4 linked regions of the Oryctolagus cuniculus genome follow. The protein of the gene in region 1 purifies or fractionates together with the protein of each later gene. This does not show direct contact. Links are inferred from orthologs where the notes say so. Each region holds a gene or a part of one and is shown in the gene's direction. Other genes may lie near its edges.

Region 1 (4,948 bases):
GGTGGGAAGGAGCCAGGGCCTGGGTCTCCGGTGATCTCTGCAGACGGGTACTCCCTGGCCTTTGGTCTGCCTCTCAGTCACTCGACAAACACTGGTTGAGCTGCTCCAGCTTTGCCTGGGACCTGGCTTCCCGGAGTCCTCTGTGCACTGCCAGCAGCACCCGGATCTCCTTCCCAAAGCGCTCGTGCAGCTCCTGGAAGCTGGAGTGGGGCCCGAGGATGGCTAGAAAGCCACAGTCCTCGGCGGGGCACCTGGGTTCTTGGCCAGCCGCCTGGCAGAGCTCCCGGTACTGGGCCTCCATGGGGGGAAGCAGCCTAGCCAGCCGCCTCCAGCTCACCCCGGCCAGCGCCCACAGCCAAGCCCTCAGCTCCTCCTGGCTTTCTGCGGCCAGCTTGTAGGCCCGCCCCCCTGTGCCCTCTCCCCCGGGGGTCACGATGGTGAAGGCGAAGGGCTCTGCGGCCTTAAGGCGAGGCTCCACCCGGCAGCTCTCCAACAGGATGAGGCCCAGGGGAGTGTGGGCTTCCTGGTGTTCCAGGTAGAAGAGGAGGTTTCCACGGAGGACAAACCAGCGGCGCTGGTAGCTGCTGTTTCGGGCCCCCTTCTTCAGCAAGATGCCCTCCTGGTCTGGGGCCTGGGCTCTGCAGCCTTGGAAGAAACTGAGCACAGACTTGCGGTGCAGTTTCATGGTGGTGGCCCTGGAGGGACCCTGGGGGAGAGAGGAGTGGTCCCCTGGTTGCCTGGGAGGATGCTCACGCCCTCCTAGCTCCAGCAGGCTCTGCCTGGGCACAGTCTTGGCCTGCACACCCTTGGGCGTTAGCTGTCTTGTCCCACCACCCAGGGCCAGGCCCGCCCACCTCCCCGCCTCAAATCCCATCACCTAGGCAGGGTCGCTGGGCCCTGATTGCTAAGGGGGCGGGGGCTTCATCCCACCGCTGTGGTGCCGGAGGGACCATTGCCCTTTCCTAGGCCTACCTGAGAGCAGGCACAGGGGCTTCTGGGCTGGCCACAGGGCACCCGCGACAATGCCACCTCTGCAGCAGTGGCTGCCCCGCCTCAGAAATCAGGAACTGGCTCCGCGGACAGGCGTGGAGCACGTGATTTCCCCTGGGTCCTAAAGGCGGCTGGGTTCTGAAAGTGTCCCAAGTGCCCTCAGAGGCCATCAGGTGAGCCTGGCTTCCCTTAGGGAGAAGAGCAGGGCCGCGCCTCACGCTAGGAGAGGGCGCAGCTCTGACAAGTGTAAGGCACTTGGCCAGTCTGCGGGAAACGGTGGTGCGAACCCCGGAAGGGGCACCTGGGGCTGGAACCCATCGGCTCTGCTCCTCCTCTGCCCCTCCATCCTGACCCTGGGCTCCCCTCTAAGTGGAGTTGCATCCCCCAGAGGCTGCGTGAGGGCATCGAAGCCACTTCGGGGCATCCTCCGCGCCGATCAGGGTCTAGGCGCCCGCACACTCCTCGCCGCTGCAGACCCGCGCGGCTCACGTCACTCCTGGCGGGGGACAGGGTTGGAGGTTGCCGCCTAGCTCACTACCTACTTCCGCCCGCTCTTCCTGTTAGTCCTTCAAGTGGAGTGAAGCCACTTCCGGCCTCCGCCGTACGCTTCCGGGTGATGGCGGCCAGGTGCCCCGGATACAGCCCTGGTGAAAGCATCTCTCCTTTTCTTCCCCTGCCTCCCCTAGATCCCCAGGTGAGCGCGCGCGGGGCTGGCTGCCGGAGTCCCCGTGGCTGTGCCGCCCTCTAATCTGTACACACCCCGGGACAGTTGGGGGGTCAACCACGTGGAATTGGGAGTTCGGCGCGAGGAGGAGGAGCAGAGCGGCCGGGAGCGCCAGGTCCTGGGTCGGCCCGGGCCCCGCGGGCTCCGAGGGCTTTGGGGTTGCGGGAGCGGGTGTGTGTGCCCGCCGAGCCCGGTAGCGCTCAGACTGCGGAGGCCGGATATGGGCGTGGTCACGTGGGGGAGCCGGGCCCCTGTCGTCGGGGTGGGGATACTCCCCGCGTCTGGCCTGGCGTCCCAGCTCCGTTAGCTCTGGGATGGCGAGCCGAGGCCGTGGGAGCCTCCGGGCTGCAGCTCCCGCTCTGGCCCCCGATTCTCTGTGCTCTTCCCTCCCAATGGACCTGGCACGCACCAGGAAGCGTGTCCTGTGGCCAGGGTTCTCTTGCAGTGGGTGGCCTCCCGCTCAGGCCGCTTCCTCTGCAACTTTTCCCCCATCAGGTTAAGGGAAGCCCCCCTGGCCCGTCATGCCAAAGCGGAAAGTGACCTTCCAAGGCGTGGGAGACGAGGATGAGGATGAAGTCAGTGTTCCCAGGAAGAAGGTGAGGGGGCCAGACCGTTTTGTTGGGGGGAGGGGAGGCAGAGCGGAGCCTGAAGAGGAGGGCAGGTCCCCCAGGACTGGGTTTGGAGGGTGCTCAGCTTGGGTGCAGATGCTGGAGTCTGGGAGGAGCTGAGAATTCTGCATTTCTCCCTTCCTGCTCTCAGCTGGTGGACCCCGTGACTGGGCCCGGGGGTCCCGGGAGCCGCTTCAAAGGCAAGCACTCCTTGGACAGCGATGAAGAGGATGATGACGACGAGGGGTCCAGCAAGTATGACATCCTGGCCTCAGAGGATGTGGAAGGTGAGTAGCACCCAGGGAGGGACGAGTGGGGACTTGAGGGAGGGAGGTTCCTGTCTCTCTCTTTTTTTTGCATGCCTCGCATGGGGCGACTCTGTCTCTGATGCAGGTCAGGAAGCAGCCACGCTCCCCAGTGAGGGAGGGGTGCGCATCACTCCCTTCAACCTGCAGGAGGAGATGGAGGAAGGCCACTTTGATGCCGATGGCAACTACTTCCTGAACCGGGACGCTCAAATCCAGGACAGCTGGCTGGACAATATTGATTGGGTGCGGCCCAGGGCTCAGCACGGCTGGGGTGGGGTGGGGGGGCTGGATCTGGGCTCCTGGAGCAGGTTTGTAGGAAACAACCCCCTGCAGCCCCCGACCCTGACCCCTTTCTTGCATTCTAGGTGAAGATCAGGGAGCGGCCCCCGGATCAGCGCCGGGCTTCAGACTCGGAGGAGGAGGACAGCCTGGGCCAGACACCACTGAGCGCCCAAGCCCTCCTCGAGGGACTTCTAGAGCTGCTGCTGCCCAGGGAGACAGTGGCCGGGGCACTGAGGCGGCTGGGGGCCCGAGGAGGGGGCAAAGGGAACAGCAAGGGGCCCGGGCGGCCCAGTTCCCCCCAGCGCCTGGACCGGCTGTCTGGGTTGGCTGACCAGATGGTGGCCCGGGGCAACCTTGGCGTTTACCAGGAAACTCGAGAGCGCCTGGCCATGCGGCTGAAGGGGTTGGGGTGTCGGACCCAGGGGGCCCAGGATTCCACGCCCCCGCCCTCCCTGGACATGTTTGCGGAGGAGGTGGCTGAGGGGGAGCTGGAGACCCCGACCCCTCCCCAGAGAGAAGGTGAGCTTTGGAGGGCAGAGGAGGGGCAGCGGTGTGGACTGGAGGCCGGGCAGTGGAGCTCCAATCGGCTCCGCCTCTGGTTGCAGAGGCAGAGTCGGCGGGCGACGGCCTGGTGGACGTGATGTGGGAATATAAGTGGGAGAACACCGGGGAGGCCGAGCTCTACGGACCCTTCACCAGTGCCCAGATGCAGGTGAGCGCCCCCCCCCCTCCCCCGCACGCCCCGCCCCACCCCCGGCCCGCCCCGCCCCGCCGTGTCAGCCCCGCCCTGTCTACCTGCAGACCTGGGTGAGCGAAGGCTACTTCCCAGACGGAGTCTACTGCCGGAAGCTGGATCCCCCGGGTGGTCAGTTCTACAACTCCAAACGCATCGACTTCGACCTCTACACCTGAGCCTGCGGAGGGCCCAGTTGGGCGCCCCCCCCACCTCCCCCGTTCTCTGCTGGACTTTGGGGGAGCCGGCCCCCAGCTGCCTTGGGCAGGGAGAAGATTGGAGGCTACTTTTCAATTTCTGTTTTTCCCAATAAAATGCCTTTAGTGGTGTGCGAGGGCCTCGGCTGTGCTGACGGCCAGGAGCCGGGGGCCGTCTCCACAGCCCTTCAGACTGTTATGTGTTTGTACGCTTTTTCCTCTGCCGTGGTCTCTCCCCGGTGCCTTGAACCCTCCTCACCTTCGTTTCCCGCCTCCCTGACTGGCAGGTGTCCTGTGTGGGCCCCGCCCTGATCTGCGCCTGCGCGGGCTTCTCGCTGTGCTGACCTCGCCTCCTCTGTCCTCACAGCCGCTGGGGACCTGAGCCCCGGGCCCAGGAATTGCAGGTGTTAGTGGGACGTCTCGAAGACCAAGGATGAGCAGGAATTCTCTTTTTTTTAATTTTTTTAAAAAAGATTTATTTATTTATTTGAAAGTCAGAATTACACAGAGAGAGGTCTTCCATCCGCTGGTTCACTCCCCAGTTGGCTGCAACGGCTGGAGCTGAGCCAATCCAAAGCCAGGAGCCAGGAGCTTCTTCCGGGTCTCCCACGTGGGTGCAGGGGCCCAGGGACTTGGGCCATCTTCTACTTCTTTCCCAGGCCATAGCAGAGAGCTAGATTGGAAGTGGAGCAGCTGGGACTAGAACCAGCACCCATATGGGATGCTGGCGCTTCAGGCCAGGGCATTAACCTGCTGTGCCACAGCGCTGCCCCCCCCCCCCCCTTTTTTTTTAAGGTTTATTTATTTGAGAGGCAGAGTTACAGACAGACAGGGAGGGAGGGGTTTTCCATCCGCTGTTTCACTCCCCTAATAGCCACAATGGCTGGAACTGAGCCGATCTGGAGCCAGGAGCTTCTTCTGGGTCTCCCACGTGGGTGCAGGGACCCAAAGGCTTGGGCCATCTTCTGCTGCTTTTCCCAGGCCATAGCAGAGAGCTGGATCGGAAGTGGAGCAGCCGGTAATTGAACCTGTGCCCATGTGGGATCCCGGCACTGCAGGTGGAAGCTTAACCTACTACACCACAGCGCTGGCCCCAGGAATCCCCC
Region 2 (4,500 bases), on another chromosome or scaffold:
TTTCTTGAAAGCAGAAATAGTCACCTCGTTATGCTATTTTTTTCACTGAGTCGGAGGTGGCATGTTGGATACCTTCCAGCCTGTGTCCCAGGGTAGCACTGCCTACAGAGCTTTGAGCAGTAATGGAATTGCCCTTGGGAAGGACTGTCCAGCAAGGAAAGCTTGAGCAACATACGCCTATTGGGTACTTGAAATGTGGCTTCTATACCATACAACTGAAGAATTGAATTTCAGATTTCATTTAATTTTAGTTACCTAAAGTTTAATTATCCATAGCCACGTGTTGCTAGTGACCCCTGTATTAGGTAGTGCAGTTCTGTGGGATCATAGTCGGTAAGAGTTAATACGTCAGCAGTGCTCCTTTTGCTATCCATGGATTCCGTGGAGGTAGTTTTTTATTCTTCATTACCCAGTACTCACATACTATTACCTTGCACTTGAATAAATGGACCTGTTTGTAGTTGTTCTCCTAAAAGTCTTTAGACTTGCCATTTATTTTTATGGGCAAAATTCCATTTTTCTCTTATAAAAGGGTTTATTCACTCTGTTCATGTCCTCTCATCCACAGAATACTCTTGGGCCCTGCTACTTTAGTTTTAGTTCTGCTGTAGCTTTCCCTCCAGAGAAAGTGGCTGGTTACAAATACTAGTAAGAAAGAAGGTCATGGGCATTGTGTGTTGTGGAGACCCCTGATGCTGCTCGGGGCACTGTGGTGGAGGTGGGGAACACTAGTGTTCATGGCCGCCAAGCCGTTCTCCGAATGATGCTGTGTAACACTGTGGGATGTAGAGGCAAGGCTGGGTCATTTGGATGCTCTCCCAGGTGTCCAGTCCTAATCATTTTTATTTTTTCTATTCTGTTTTGGTTTTTATAGGAGTGTGCTAGACTTTGACTTTGAGAAACTGTGTTCCATCTCCCTGTCGCATATCAACGCGTATGCCTGTTTGGTGTGTGGCAAGTACTTTCAGGGTAAATAAACGTTATAAATTATAAAATTGTTAAGTTTTCAGAGCCAATTGCAGGTGTATTCCAGTGAGCTTTGTTGTTGCTTTGAAATAAAGTAAACTACTTTCAGGAGTCCTGTGTAAGATTTCCTATCTTTATTCCTAGGAAGTTGGAGTACTTTTAGAATACCAGTAGGAAGTTTTGCAGTCAAAATCTGAATATATGTGAAAGGAAGAAAGAATGAGTTGTATGAAAGATTATGATCTCAAAGACTCTGGGTTTCTGAATCTCTACTGTTTTCTACACGTGTATCTTTTTGGAGAAGGCTTTTGTTCTAAGGACTTTTTTTTTATTTTTTTATTTCCACTCATTCATACCAGTGCTGTATACATGGTATTGGGAAGAATTCAAAAGAGATACAAACTACATTCTTTACTTTAGAGATACAAACTACATTTTTTGCTTTTATAAAGAGTCAAAGTTGACTCATGAAACAATCATTGAGTGCTACAAGACAATAAAGATTACTGTTAGACTGTGTCACAGTAAAAATAAGGACAGTAGGAACTATGCAAAAATCAGTGTTAGCTGGAAGGTTATCTTGAGTTCATGGAGGAGGTAAGGTGGGACTTGAACTAGCAAGACATGGAGGATTTGAATGGGTGGAGAGGGGGAGAGTCCAGGAGTTCCAGACTGAGTGAGGGTACATGGGTGCAGGATTGGCCTGACACAGACAGTAGGAGACTCAGGACTCAGTAATGTTGGACTGTCACAGGATACGTCCGTGTGCCCGTGTGTATGTGCATGTACACATGAGCTATTCCTGACTTGTGGCCTGTATGAAACTAACTCATATATCACATGCATTTTCATTTTGAAATGGGTTTCCTTAGCTAATGTCTTACGCTGTGTAGGGAATGAAGTGAACTACTGTGCTATTCTTTCTTGCTAATTTTTGTGATGAGAGACGTTCATGTGGGAGAGTCATTTCATGAATGGCAGAGTGCTTTGTTTTTGCTGACTGTAACGTGTTCTAGTGCAAGGTGACGAAAGGGAAAGCAAACCTGATCTGTGCCCCTCCAGGACGTGCCCTTGTCTCACAGCCTTTTACCCTTCCCTACAGGCCGGGGTTTGAAGTCTCATGCTTACATTCACAGCGTCCAGTTCAGCCATCATGTCTTCCTCAACCTCCACACCCTCAAGTTTTACTGCCTCCCAGACAACTACGAGATCATTGACTCCTCGCTGGAGGACATCACGGTGTGTCCAAGAGGGCTGGTTTGGTGCTGATTGATGGGGGAGCTTTCACAGGGCTCTCTGGGAACTATGTCACCCATGGTGAGGGGAAGAACCCTCAGTCTCTTGGCCTTAATAGGCTTCTTTTTGGGAAGAACCAAGGAAAGCGAGTAACATCAGAATTCATAATTGTGGTCTGTGGTTTGTGACCTGAATGTCATTTTCTGTCTTAACGGTGAGGGCCAGGACTGAAGAAATATGGTTCCATTTTTTTTTTTTTACAGATTTGTTTTACATTAAACATTTTTTTATTTTACTTTTTCGAAAGGCAGAGTTAGAGACAGAGAGATCTTCCATCTGCTGGTTCACTCCCAAAATGGCTGCAACAGCCAGATCTGGGCCAGAACAAAGCCAGGAGCCAAAAGCTTCTTCCGGATCTCCCACATGGATACAAGGGCCCAAGCACTTGGGCCATCTTCTGCTTTCCCAGGAACATTAGCAGGGAGCTGGATCAGATGTGAGCAGCCATACGGGATGCCAGTGTCACAGGTGGAAGCTTTATCCATTGTGCCACAATGCTGGGCCTGTGGCTACTTTGTAATAGGAGTTAGTACTTTTGTTGTTTGGAGGATTTTAAAAATTTTGTCATTTTAATTTTGTTTGAAAGAGAGATGCACAGAGTCAGAGTTTTTCCATCCACTGGTTCATCCTTCAAATGCTACAACAGCTGGGTCTGGGCCATTTTGAAGTCAGGAGCCTGGAACTCAATCCAGGTCTCCCATATGAGTGGCAGGGGCCCAAGTGCTGCCTCTTGGTGTGCATTAGCAGGAAGCTAGATTGAAGTGAAGGAACTTGGAATTGAGCCAGGCTCTCCACTATGGGTGTAGGCATCCCAGATGGCAACTTAACCACTGTGCCAAACATCTGCCCCATAAAGTGCTTTTGTGAAATAAATTATCCTTCCATATTTTAGAGTGGAGATATGAATTGAGCCTGGCATAGACAGTGGATATCAAGCTGCATAACAATTTCTGGCTCCTTTTCATCCATGATGTGGCGTGTCCCATCTGGGAGCTCCAATTTGAGACCTGTGCCAAGGGATCTTGTTCTTTTTTTCTTTTCTTTTCTTTTTTTTTTTTTTTAGGTTTTTCTTTTTCTTTTTTATTTATTTGAGAGGTAGAGTTACAGACAGTGAGAAGGAGAGACAGAAAGGTCTTCCTTCCGTTGGTTCACTCCCCAAATGGCTACAACACCCAGAGCTGCGCTGATCCGAAGCCAGGAGCCTGGTGCTTCTTCCCAGTCTCCCATGCGGGTGCAGGGGCCCAAGGACTTGGGCCATCTTCTACTGCCTTCCCAGGCCACAACAGAGAGCTGGATTGGAAGAGGAGCAGCTGGGACTAGAACCAGCACCCATATGGGATGCCGGTGCCACAGGCGGAGGATTAACCTGTGCCACAGAGCTGGCTCTGGGATCTTGTTCTTAAGTGGAGAGAGTGAAAAGTCTTTGTTGTAGGCCTCAGTTAGTTTTGGACTGTTGATTATTTTCCTTCTTAGCAAGTGGTACATATTTTTAATTTTTTTGGGAAGATTTATTTATTTGAAAAGCAGAGTTACAGAAAGAGGGAGAGATAGATCTTCCATACACTGGTTCACTCTGCAAATGGCCACAGTGGCCTGAGCTGGGCCAATCTGAAGCCAGGAACTGGGAGCTTCTTGTGGTTCTCCTATGTGGGTGCAGGGGCCCAAGCACTTGGGCCATCTTCTACTGCTTTCCCAGGTGCATTAGCAGGGAGCTGGATTGGAAGGGGAGTGGCTGAGACTCAAACCAACACCCATATGGGATGCCAGCACTGCAGGCGGTGGCTGTACCCACTGCACCCTGTACTGGCACCAGTGTTTGTTTATTTCATCTACTTGAAAGGCAGAGAGATCTTCCATCTACACTGGTTCACTCTCCAAATGCCCACAACAGCCACAGGTGGGCCAGGCCAAAGCCAGGAGCCTGGAACTCTATTCAGGTCTCCTTTGTGGGTGCCTGGGCCCCAAGCACTTCAGCCATAATCCACTGCCTCACGGGATTTATTAACCGGAAGCTGAATCAGAAGTGGAGCAGTCAGACCCTTACTGGCACTCACATATGGGATATGGGTGTCTCAGGCAATGGACTAACCTGGTGCACCACAGTGCCTCTATTGACCAGGCAAGGGGTGTGTATTTCTGCTGCTGAGTTTTATGAGTTTATGGTGCTGTTTATTTTTAATGTTTATTTTTAGTGTTCAGAGTTTTTGAAATACTCTGTTTATTGCTTTTGAAGTTTTA
Region 3 (4,500 bases), on another chromosome or scaffold:
AACATGCTCAACTCCATGTATCAGCTCTGGATCCTCGGGGCCCTGGACAACACAGGTGTTGCAGCCCCAGGAGCTGGTGGGGCCTGGTGGGCACTGGTGCTGGCCTGAGGTGCTCCTCGTCTGCTGTCTCATTGAATCTGGGTGTGCTCCTCTCCAGGTGGTCTGACCTCCACCGGGCGACTGATGGTGGAGTTCCCGCTGGACCCAGCCCTGTCCAAGATGCTCATTGTGTCCTGTGACATGGGCTGCAGCTCCGAGATCCTGCTCATCGTCTCCATGCTCTCGGTTCCCGCCATCTTCTACAGGCCCAAGGTGGGGCATCCATGTTGTCTCCGCGGCCGGCCCTGTGAGGGTTAAGAGGGGAAGAGCTGCTCTCTGCATCATGAAATGGAGTGGAGAGGCAGGAATCAGCTTCCAGAGACTGAGTTTGCTGTCGGCCGTTAGCAAGGTGGGGGAAGGGAAAGATGGACTGGATCAGGGAGCCATGGGGAACTTCGCAAGAGCATCTTTTATCTTTCGTTTGCTTGTGCCTGAGCCCTCACGTCAGAGAGTAAATCTTTCATTGTAAATGATCTCCTCTCCCCTGTGTGGTTAGGGGTGTGCTGAGCAGGCTGGACGCCACCGTGCTCAGGGTAAAGTTCCTTTTCCCTTGCTAGGGCCGCGAGGAGGAGAGCGATCAGATCCGGGAGAAGTTCGCTGTCCCCGAGAGTGATCACTTGACCTACCTGAACGTTTACCTGCAGTGGAAGAACAACAATTACTCCACCATCTGGTGTAACGACCATTTCATCCACGCCAAGGCCATGCGGAAGGTGGGCGACTGCAACCCAGATGGCAGCATGTCAGGATAAGGGGTGGCGGGTGGGGCACGGAGGGTTCCATCTTGGCCTCCTCGTCATGCTGCAGGTCCGCGAGGTGAGGGCCCAACTCAAGGACATCATGGTGCAGCAGCGGATGAGCCTGGCTTCGTGTGGCACGGACTGGGACATTGTCAGGAAGTGCATCTGTGCGGCCTATTTTCATCAGGCAGCCAAGCTCAAGGTGAGCTCTGGCCGTCTGGTGGGACTGTGGCACCTTCTTGGCTGATACCTGGATGAGGACAAAGTTCTTCCTATCTCATGGTGCATTTCTGCAGGGCTGGGCTTCCTCCAAAGTCTGTGTGAGGATGGTGTTAAATGATGGGGCAGCTGCCCAATCAGGCCACTTGTTCCTGACATGGCCACCTGTTGTCTTTCCTAGGGAATCGGGGAGTATGTGAATATCCGCACGGGGATGCCCTGCCACCTGCATCCCACCAGCTCCCTCTTTGGAATGGGCTACACCCCAGACTACATAGTGTACCATGAGCTGGTCATGACCACCAAGGTGAGGCTTTTCCAAGGTGTTCCCATACACAGGCCTACCTACTGGGCCACGAACTTTGGGCTTAGGAGACTTGAGGCCTTGTGCATTGCTTTGCATCTGGGGTTGGTTTTCAGCTGGGATTTTGGGGAACTGTTTTTGGCTCATCTACAGATGAGCCTGTAGAATGCAGAGGCCTCAGTGGAGCCTGCAGGGTTGTTTCCTGTTTGCTGCTTGGGCTGGGCCACCCCTGTTGGTGTCATCAGAAGGGTTTGGCCCTTTCTCAGACACTACTGGGGGCGGGGAGTGGGGTGTGTGTTTTCTCAAGTGTGGAGGAATTTGGATGGGAAATGGGATTACAGTTCCACTGCTTGGGCCTTTCTCCTGCCTTTCTCAGCCCTGCAGGGCCAAGGCTGGGGCCTTTTTCGTATGGTTCCTCATTGTGGAACCTTCTAGGAGGGACACTGGCCCTCCCGTGACCTCCACTTTACTGCCCTTGTTTCTGCAGGAGTACATGCAGTGTGTGACGGCCGTGGATGGAGAGTGGCTGGCAGAGCTGGGCCCGATGTTCTACAGTGTAAAACAGGCAGGCAAGTCGAGACAGGTAAGACCCTGTGCTTGCCATGGAGGCACCGTTTGCCCATGGGGCTGACTGTCCCTCAGCTCGTCACCATCTGACCCCTTATTTCTCTCTCAAACCTGAAAACTGGGATCTGGCCAGCCTGGTCTGATTCCTTTAACCACCCAACTCCAGTGGCTCTGTTGGCTGAAAACAGTTTAAGAAGTTCATGTATTGAAATTACTGAAAAGTCCAAATAGTCATGCAAGTAGAAAAAAGCAGTGTAATGAGCCACCCTGGATTTGTCACCTTGCCCCCCTAATTGTCAGTCAGTCTTCACATGTTCTCACTCCCAGCCATATCTGCTTTAGTTTCCTGGAGTATCTTAAGGCTTCTCTCAGATGCCATGTTGTTTCTTACATAAATACTTGCGTGAGTCTCTGGCTGAAAGGACGTTATGACCCCCAACAAGATGCACCTTCAGTGTCACCTCTCTCTAGACCTTATTCAGATTACCCTTTTTTTCTGACTCACTTGGCTTGAATTAGGAACTGAACGTTGCCATTGGTTATGCATGTTCTCTCATTCTAGGACAGGCTCCACCCTGTCCTTTTTTTAAAAATGACATTGATTTATTGGAGTAATCAGGTCATTTATAGAATACTGATGTAATTGGTTGAGGGCTTCTTCATGGTGGTGTTTAACCTGTGCCTCTGTTGCATGTACTTTCTGTGACCTACTGTAACCTAAAGGCTTGGTAAGGTATGGTTCAGTGATGTCGGGCAAAGATGCATGCCCGTGGTGTTGTGAACTTCCTTTCAGAGGACATCCAGGGATGTCAGCCTAGTCCCTCCATTCTCAATTCTCTGCCACTCCATCTTGAGGTTGTCACGTCCACTGACGACTGCTGCTAGGATCCATCCTTAGGGTTGCCAAGTGCTGCGGGAATTTGTTTGTCCCTTCTAGCATGGGCTTCCCCACACTGGGCCTGCACGTTTCTTCAGTTCGTCCTTTCCTGCCAGGTGGTAATGTCTTCCTGACATTGTGAACTTGGTGAAAAACTAAGTTCTTAAGTGAATTGAGGCATGACTGGTTAGACAGAATCATCCAGCACCTGGAATGGATCTGTGAAAACAGCAGATCTCAGCTGCGGGCAGGAGCCGAGTGGCCACTTCCTCTAGAGCTGGCGTGGTCATCGTAGCACCTGTTCACGGCAGAAACATGAGTGCAGACAAGGTCTCCTGGTGGTCCCTGGTGGACTCAGCCACTCCCATCCCCCTTGTCTAGGAGAATCGCCGTCGGGCCAAAGAAGAAGTCTCTGCCATGGAGGAGGAGATGGCCCTGGCTGAGGAGCAGCTGCGAGCCCGGCGGCAGGAGCAGGAGAAGCGCAGCCCCTTGGGCAGTATGAGGTGAGCTCTTGCCCCTGGGAGGCCGCCGGCCACCAGGCCCTGATGTAAGAGAAGGTGACTGGGTAAAGGTGACCTGTCAAAGTGACTTCTGCGTGGGGTAGTCACACGTGGAAGCACGGGAGGCGTTCCAGACAGTTTGAAAGGCTTGGTTTGACTTCTGCAGCTGCAGCTGTCCTGTGCTGAGGCCCTGTGGGCGGGGTGGCAGGGCGGGTCCTGCCGTCTTCCTGACAAAGCCGTGGGGTTGGAAAGCTTCCCTCATTCTTGCCTGGCCTTTCACACCTCTCAAGTGAACAGGGGGGTAGAGAGCTGGCTTTCTGCCTCTGTGCTGACCCCAGAGTTAGGCCAGACTTGGCAGGGTCAGGGTACAGTCCTCCGCAAGACAGCTCTCACTTCCAATACCAGTTGCCAGTTGGGAGGCAGCTCTTACTTTGGACCAACTTGCTACAAATTTGTGAATCCCGATGGATTCCCTTAGATTTAATAATTTGCTAGAAGGATTCAGAGACCTGAGGAAAGCACTCTACGGACCATTAGTTTTAGTGTAGCAAAAGGGTACAAGTCAGAATGAGCTCAGGGAGAGCTGCGTGGAGCAGGTGAGAGAGGGCTCCCGCGGAGTCGCTTTCTGTGTCAGCAGGGCTCGGGTGCCTTCTCACACATCGGCCTTTAACAGTACCCACTGGGCGAGGCCAGTCGGGGAAGGTCACTTGGGTGTCAGCATCCAGAGTATTTACTGGGGTTTTGTTACATAAGCATGAATGACTGGATCATTGTCAAGTGGTTGAACGTGGTCTCCAGCTCCTAAGAGGTCAGGCTGTTACCACATGGCTCAGAGCCCCAACTCTGACACTTGGTTGGTCTTTCTGGCCAGGCTGGCCTGTCTTGACTCATCTTGTTAGCATAGACTGTTAGGGATCCCCCCGCGAGTCATCTCATCAGCATTCACTATTAGATGTGGTCTGAGGGTCTCCCAAGAATGACGACATACCTCCCTGGAACTCTGGACAGAAGCAGGTGCAGTTCTAATTACATGGCTACAATGGTGGTCTGGTGAGTTGGAAAGAAGCTACTTCTAAACCCACCTAAAGAATATGAAAGGAATTGTTAGAAAAAATCTGTCTTGGGGCAGATAGGTGCAGCAGGTTAAGCTGCTGCTCGGGATGGCTGCATCTTATAGTAGAATATTTGGATTAA
Region 4 (4,500 bases), on another chromosome or scaffold:
AACTGTCAGGCCAGTGTCCGTGGTGGCCCTGGGTGGCGCAGTCCTCGTCCTCTGCTGCCCCGCCTCCTCGCCAGTCCCAAGCCCTGAGCCGTCCGCCCTTCCCCGTGCAGGGCGGCCCCGGGCACCTGTCCCTGCGGCTTTGCCTTCAGGGCTCTCCCCAAATGACTGCAGCGGCCCAGAGCAAAGCCGGAACCCAGAACTCCATCCGGGCTCGCCGTGGGCGGCTGGGGTGCGAGTACTGGCGCCTGCTCTGCCCTCGGGCACATTGGCAGGGGCTGGCGCAGCAGCAGAGCGGCCAGCGTTCTCACAGCTCTCGGATCCAGGCCGCCGGGCCACGGGGCAGTGCGCGACGCTGGCCCCGTTTTATTATTGAAAAGCTGTGCATGTGTTAGATGTGCCCTTTCATGTTCATGGTGTTCATTAAAAAGTAAACGTAGTGAGAGTGAAGGGGCCGGCACTGCGGTGTAGCGGGTAAGGCCGCCGCCTGCAGTGCCGGCATCCCAAATGGGCGCTGGTTCGAGTCCTGGCTGCTCCACTTCCCATCCAGCTCCCTGCTGTGGCCTGGGAAAGGCTCCTGGCTTCAGATCCGCGCAGCTCCGGCTGTTGCGGCCACCTGGGGGGTGAACCAGCGGATGGAAGACCTCTCTGCCTCTGCCTCTGTGGCTCTTTCAGATAAATAAATAGGTCTTTGTGGGGGGGAAGTGAAAGGAAGGGGGTGCAAAAGTGGATGTAGTGTCTAGAAGCTTCTCCGAGGAGTTTGTGGTCACGGGAGCTGGGGGTTTAGAGAGGGGAGACCCTAGGGGTCCTCCCTCGTGTGTGTGCGGCCGAGCATCTGCCGTGCCAGGAGGGGGGCAGAAGGTGTGGTGCCCAGGGTGGGAGCAAGAGGCCAGACTGGGAGTCGTGAGTGGCAGGATGGCCGCCGTGCGCCCCGGGGGGGGGGGGGCTCTGGAGGAGGGGCTGTGGGAGTTCGTCAGGGGAGGGGCGTGCAGGATCCTGGATTAGTTCAGCGTAGGCGGCCACGGAGGGCTGTGGCGCAGAGCAGCGGCCCGGTGCACAGGTGGACGGGAGGAGGTGCACAGGTGGACGGGAGGAGCGGCCAGTTGGAGGCGTGTGCGTGGTGGGAGTGGCCTGCTGCCATGAGGGCGGGCCTGTGGGTCCCTTGGTCTCTATGGCGTCACCCCAGGACCTTCTGGGTTTGCCCACAGCCGCTCCCTCCCCCAGGTGGTGGAGATCGTGAGGAAGCTGGAGTCTCGGCAGCGGGGCTGGGAGGAGGACGAGGACCCCGAGCGCAAGGGCGCCATCGTGTTCAACGCCACCTCCGAGTTCTGCCGCACCCTGGGCGAGATCCCCACCTACGGGCTGGCCGGCAACCGCGAGGAGCAGGAGGAGCTCATGGTGCGCCCGGGCCTGCTCTGTCCCCGGGAGGGGGCGGCCGGCGGGGCGGGGCGGGGCTGCCCGGCTGACCTGCACTTCCGGCCCCAGGACTTTGAGCGAGACGAGGAGCGCTCAGCTCACGGCGGCTCCGAATCCGACGGGGAGGAGAACATTGGCTGGAGCACGGTCAACCTGGACGAGGAGAAGCAGCAGCAGGACGTGAGGGCGCTGCCGGGGAGGGCGGGGCCCTGGGCTGGGAGGGGTAGGGGCCCGGTGCTCCGCTCACCCCCACCCCGTGCTCCCCCAGTTCTCTGCCTCCTCCACCACCATCCTGGACGAGGAGCCCATCGTCAACAGAGGCCTGGCCGCTGCCCTGCTCCTGTGTCAGAACAAAGGTGGGCCCCGGAGCTGGGGGGTGGGGCTGGGAGGCCCTGGGTGGCGCGGTCCTGTCCTCTGCTGCCCCCCCCCCCCGCCGCCGCCTCCTCGCCAGTCCCAAGCCCTGAGCCGTCGCCCTTCCCCATGCAGGGCGGCCCCGGGCACCCGTCCCTGCGGCTTTGCCTTCAGGGCTCTGTCTGGGAGGAACGGGGGCGGGGAAACGGCGGTGGCTTTGGCTTGGACACGGGTCAGCACCCAGGTGGCCGGTGGCCCTGGCACGGGGCTGTTTTCAGTTCTGTCTGTAAAGCGGGCCTGACGCCCTGACCCCCCCCGGCGCCGGCTCCCCCAGCTGCCCCGAGGCTGCCCGTCCAGAGCCTCACGGCCTCTGTCCGCAGGGCTGCTGGAGACCACGGTGCAGAAGGTGGCGCGGGTGAAAGCACCCAACAAGTCCCTGCCCTCGGCCGTGTACTGCATCGAGGACAAGATGTGAGCGGGCGGGCGCGGGGGCGGCGGCCGCGGGCGGGCGCGGGGGCGGCGGGTGGGCTGCGGGGGGCGGCGGGGGCTCACGCCGAGGCCCCGCCCCCGCCGCGCGCAGGGCCATCGATGACAAGTACAGCCGGCGGGAGGAGTACCGGGGCTTCACCCAGGACTTCAAGGAGAAGGACGGCTACAAGCCAGACGTGAAGATCGAGTACGTGGACGAGACGGGCCGGAAGCTCACGCCCAAGGAGGTGAGCGGGGCCCTGGCCCACGGGGTGGGGGTGACCCAGTGAGCTGTCGGGACCTCTGCCTTCCGTGGGCAGCGCTGGGTCCCTGCACCTGTTCGGCCCCACGCCCCCCCCCCACACCCCGCCTGGGTCCCCACGATGCCGGGGCCTCGCCCACCCCCTCCACAGCCTCAGCCCAGCGCGGGGTGGCCCTGTGCCTGTGGAGGCGCGCCAGGCCCCTGCAGCTGCCCGCCACGCCCTGTGTCCCCAGGCTTTCCGGCAGCTGTCCCACCGCTTCCACGGGAAGGGCTCGGGCAAGATGAAGACGGAGCGGCGGATGAAGAAGCTGGACGAGGAGGCGGTGGGTGCAGGGTGAGGGCGGGCGGCGGGCGGGCGGCGGGCGGGCCCCGCCCCGGGCCGCGCGCTGACCTCGGCCGGCCCACAGCTCCTGAAGAAGATGAGCTCCAGCGACACGCCGCTCGGCACCGTGGCGCTGCTGCAGGAGAAGCAGAAGGCCCAGAAGACGCCCTACATCGTGCTCAGCGGCAGCGGCAAGAGCATGAACGCGTGAGTGGGGCTGGGGGGCGGGGCCGGAGGGGCAGAGGGGGCGGGGCCGGAGGGTGGGGCCTGGGCAGGAGGGCGGGCGGGGCCAGGGCCGGAGGGTGGGGCCGGGGCGGGGCCGGAGGGCGGGGCCGGGGCACCTGCCCCTCTGCTGACGCGCTCGTTTCTCTCGCAGGAACACCATCACCAAGTGAGGCCGGCCTCCCCCCCCCACCCCCCCACCCCCCCCCGTAGTAAATAAAGCTCCCTCCTTATTTTTCCTCCCTGGTCGTGGTGAAGGTTCCAGGGCTCCGCTGGGCGGGGGGTGGGCCGGGCCGACCCCAGGGCGCAGTGTGAATTCCCCGAGCCCCTCCGCGCCCTACCGTGCAAGTGGGGGCTCCATGGACTCCCGCGTTTGTTCACGCATTCACGCGTGCACCTGGAAGCGAATGGGGCAGGTCCCCGGACCCCTGGGGTATGCAGTCTGGCCTCTGCCAGGGAGACCCGGCGGTCGGCGGACGCCAGTGTGAGAGCGAGAGAAGGGCGGGATCCCTGCTGGGCTCCTCCCCGCGGGGCCAGCCCGCCTTGGGGGTCCTGGCGCCCCCGGCCCTGCAGGGCCAGCTTTCTGCTACGGGGGGAGGGTGTTTTCAGACTTGGTGCCCCTGGCCTCCCAGGCTGCACAGGCACCGCCCAGTCACCCTGACCCGTGTCCACAGGGCAGCCCAGGGACTGGGCTCTGCGGGGCGGAGGGGCTTCCTCCCCCGCGGGGGTGTCCACCCACGGTGACTCCGCGAAGGGGTTCCTTGGAGCCCGGAGTCCACGGGCAGGTGACGGCGCAGACGCCCGTCACGGCCCTGGTGGTTCACCGCTCCCCGTTAGCACAGGCAGCCGGATTTGAACACGTAACATGTCGTCTCGGGATGGGAAGATCTGAGGACCAAGTGCGCGTCCCTGACAATGACGACTGGGACCGGGGCCCACTCTGCGGCCAGGTCGCCACTCGCACTCCCGGTCCCCACTCAGGCCTGCTGCTGCTTTTCCCGCCAGACCCTCCCTCGGTCTCGGGCCTGGCACCTGCTGGGTGTGCGTGGTGTCCAGCCGCGTCTCCAGCTGGGGAATTCGGTGTTGGGGACGGGCAGTCCTGGTGACCCTGGTGTGGCGATGGGCCCTGGCTGAGAAAGCCGAGGCCTGCCCTACAGCTGTGGTGGGCCCAGCAGACCACTAATGCCGAGGAAGCAAAGGGACTTCAGACACCTTCAGAGGCCCCCTCCAGGAAGCCCCCCCGGGCTGCCAGTGTCTGCTGCTTTCCACCTCCTGAGCCCCAGGCCAAGGACTCGCCCTACTCTGCCCTGAGGGACTCCAGGCAGAGCCTGCCCCTGGTGGGGCTAAGGACCACCACCACCGAGTGCACCAGGAGCCCGAGACCCCAGGGCAGGCGGGCCCCGGGGGCAGTGGGGGCAGGGCCTGGACAGGGCTGCCTCCTCGCCTCAGGAAGCGCCCCGGC

The links. Proteins that work in one complex are often made in the same cells at the same time.
Region 2: the proteins of CD2BP2 (region 1) and USP39 purify together in Homo sapiens (affinity purification with mass spectrometry; 5 studies listed by BioGRID and IntAct, with this or other methods). This does not show direct contact. The link is inferred for Oryctolagus cuniculus from reciprocal best matches to the Homo sapiens genes CD2BP2 and USP39.
Region 3: the proteins of CD2BP2 (region 1) and DHX38 purify together in Homo sapiens (affinity purification with mass spectrometry; 3 studies listed by BioGRID and IntAct, counting the BioPlex papers as one, with this or other methods). This does not show direct contact. The link is inferred for Oryctolagus cuniculus from reciprocal best matches to the Homo sapiens genes CD2BP2 and DHX38.
Region 4: the proteins of CD2BP2 (region 1) and SART1 purify together in Homo sapiens (affinity purification with mass spectrometry; 4 studies listed by BioGRID and IntAct, with this or other methods). This does not show direct contact. The link is inferred for Oryctolagus cuniculus from reciprocal best matches to the Homo sapiens genes CD2BP2 and SART1.

Annotation. Positions count from the first base shown.
Region 1 is NC_091450.1:6,706,239-6,711,186, forward strand, and holds CD2BP2 (CD2 antigen cytoplasmic tail-binding protein 2), read left to right. Parts: upstream 1-1,554; 5' UTR 1,555-1,684; exon of another isoform or gene 1,685-1,829; intron 1,830-1,940; exon of another isoform or gene 1,941-2,209; 5' UTR 2,210-2,235; coding exon 2,236-2,310; intron 2,311-2,473; coding exon 2,474-2,609; intron 2,610-2,715; coding exon 2,716-2,873; intron 2,874-2,995; coding exon 2,996-3,431; intron 3,432-3,517; coding exon 3,518-3,624; intron 3,625-3,713; coding exon 3,714-3,824; 3' UTR 3,825-4,041; downstream 4,042-4,948. Other genes in the region: sesquipedalian-1, read right to left, coding at 74-685. UniProt on the Homo sapiens protein: Involved in pre-mRNA splicing as component of the U5 snRNP complex that is involved in spliceosome assembly.
Region 2 is NC_091433.1:117,034,784-117,039,283, reverse strand, and holds part of USP39 (ubiquitin carboxyl-terminal hydrolase 39), read left to right. Parts: intron 1-874; coding exon 875-969; intron 970-2,068; coding exon 2,069-2,205; intron 2,206-4,500.
Region 3 is NC_091449.1:55,169,356-55,173,855, reverse strand, and holds part of DHX38 (pre-mRNA-splicing factor ATP-dependent RNA helicase PRP16), read left to right. Parts: coding exon 1-55; intron 56-157; coding exon 158-312; intron 313-656; coding exon 657-812; intron 813-906; coding exon 907-1,041; intron 1,042-1,239; coding exon 1,240-1,365; intron 1,366-1,849; coding exon 1,850-1,945; intron 1,946-3,187; coding exon 3,188-3,309; intron 3,310-4,500. UniProt on the Homo sapiens protein: Probable ATP-binding RNA helicase. Involved in pre-mRNA splicing as component of the spliceosome.
Region 4 is NC_091432.1:5,810,805-5,815,304, reverse strand, and holds the end of SART1 (U4/U6.U5 tri-snRNP-associated protein 1), read left to right. Parts: intron 1-1,221; coding exon 1,222-1,395; intron 1,396-1,482; coding exon 1,483-1,593; intron 1,594-1,681; coding exon 1,682-1,769; intron 1,770-2,144; coding exon 2,145-2,235; intron 2,236-2,344; coding exon 2,345-2,480; intron 2,481-2,727; coding exon 2,728-2,817; intron 2,818-2,901; coding exon 2,902-3,023; intron 3,024-3,192; coding exon 3,193-3,211; 3' UTR 3,212-3,277; downstream 3,278-4,500. UniProt on the Homo sapiens protein: Plays a role in mRNA splicing as a component of the U4/U6-U5 tri-snRNP, one of the building blocks of the spliceosome. May also bind to DNA.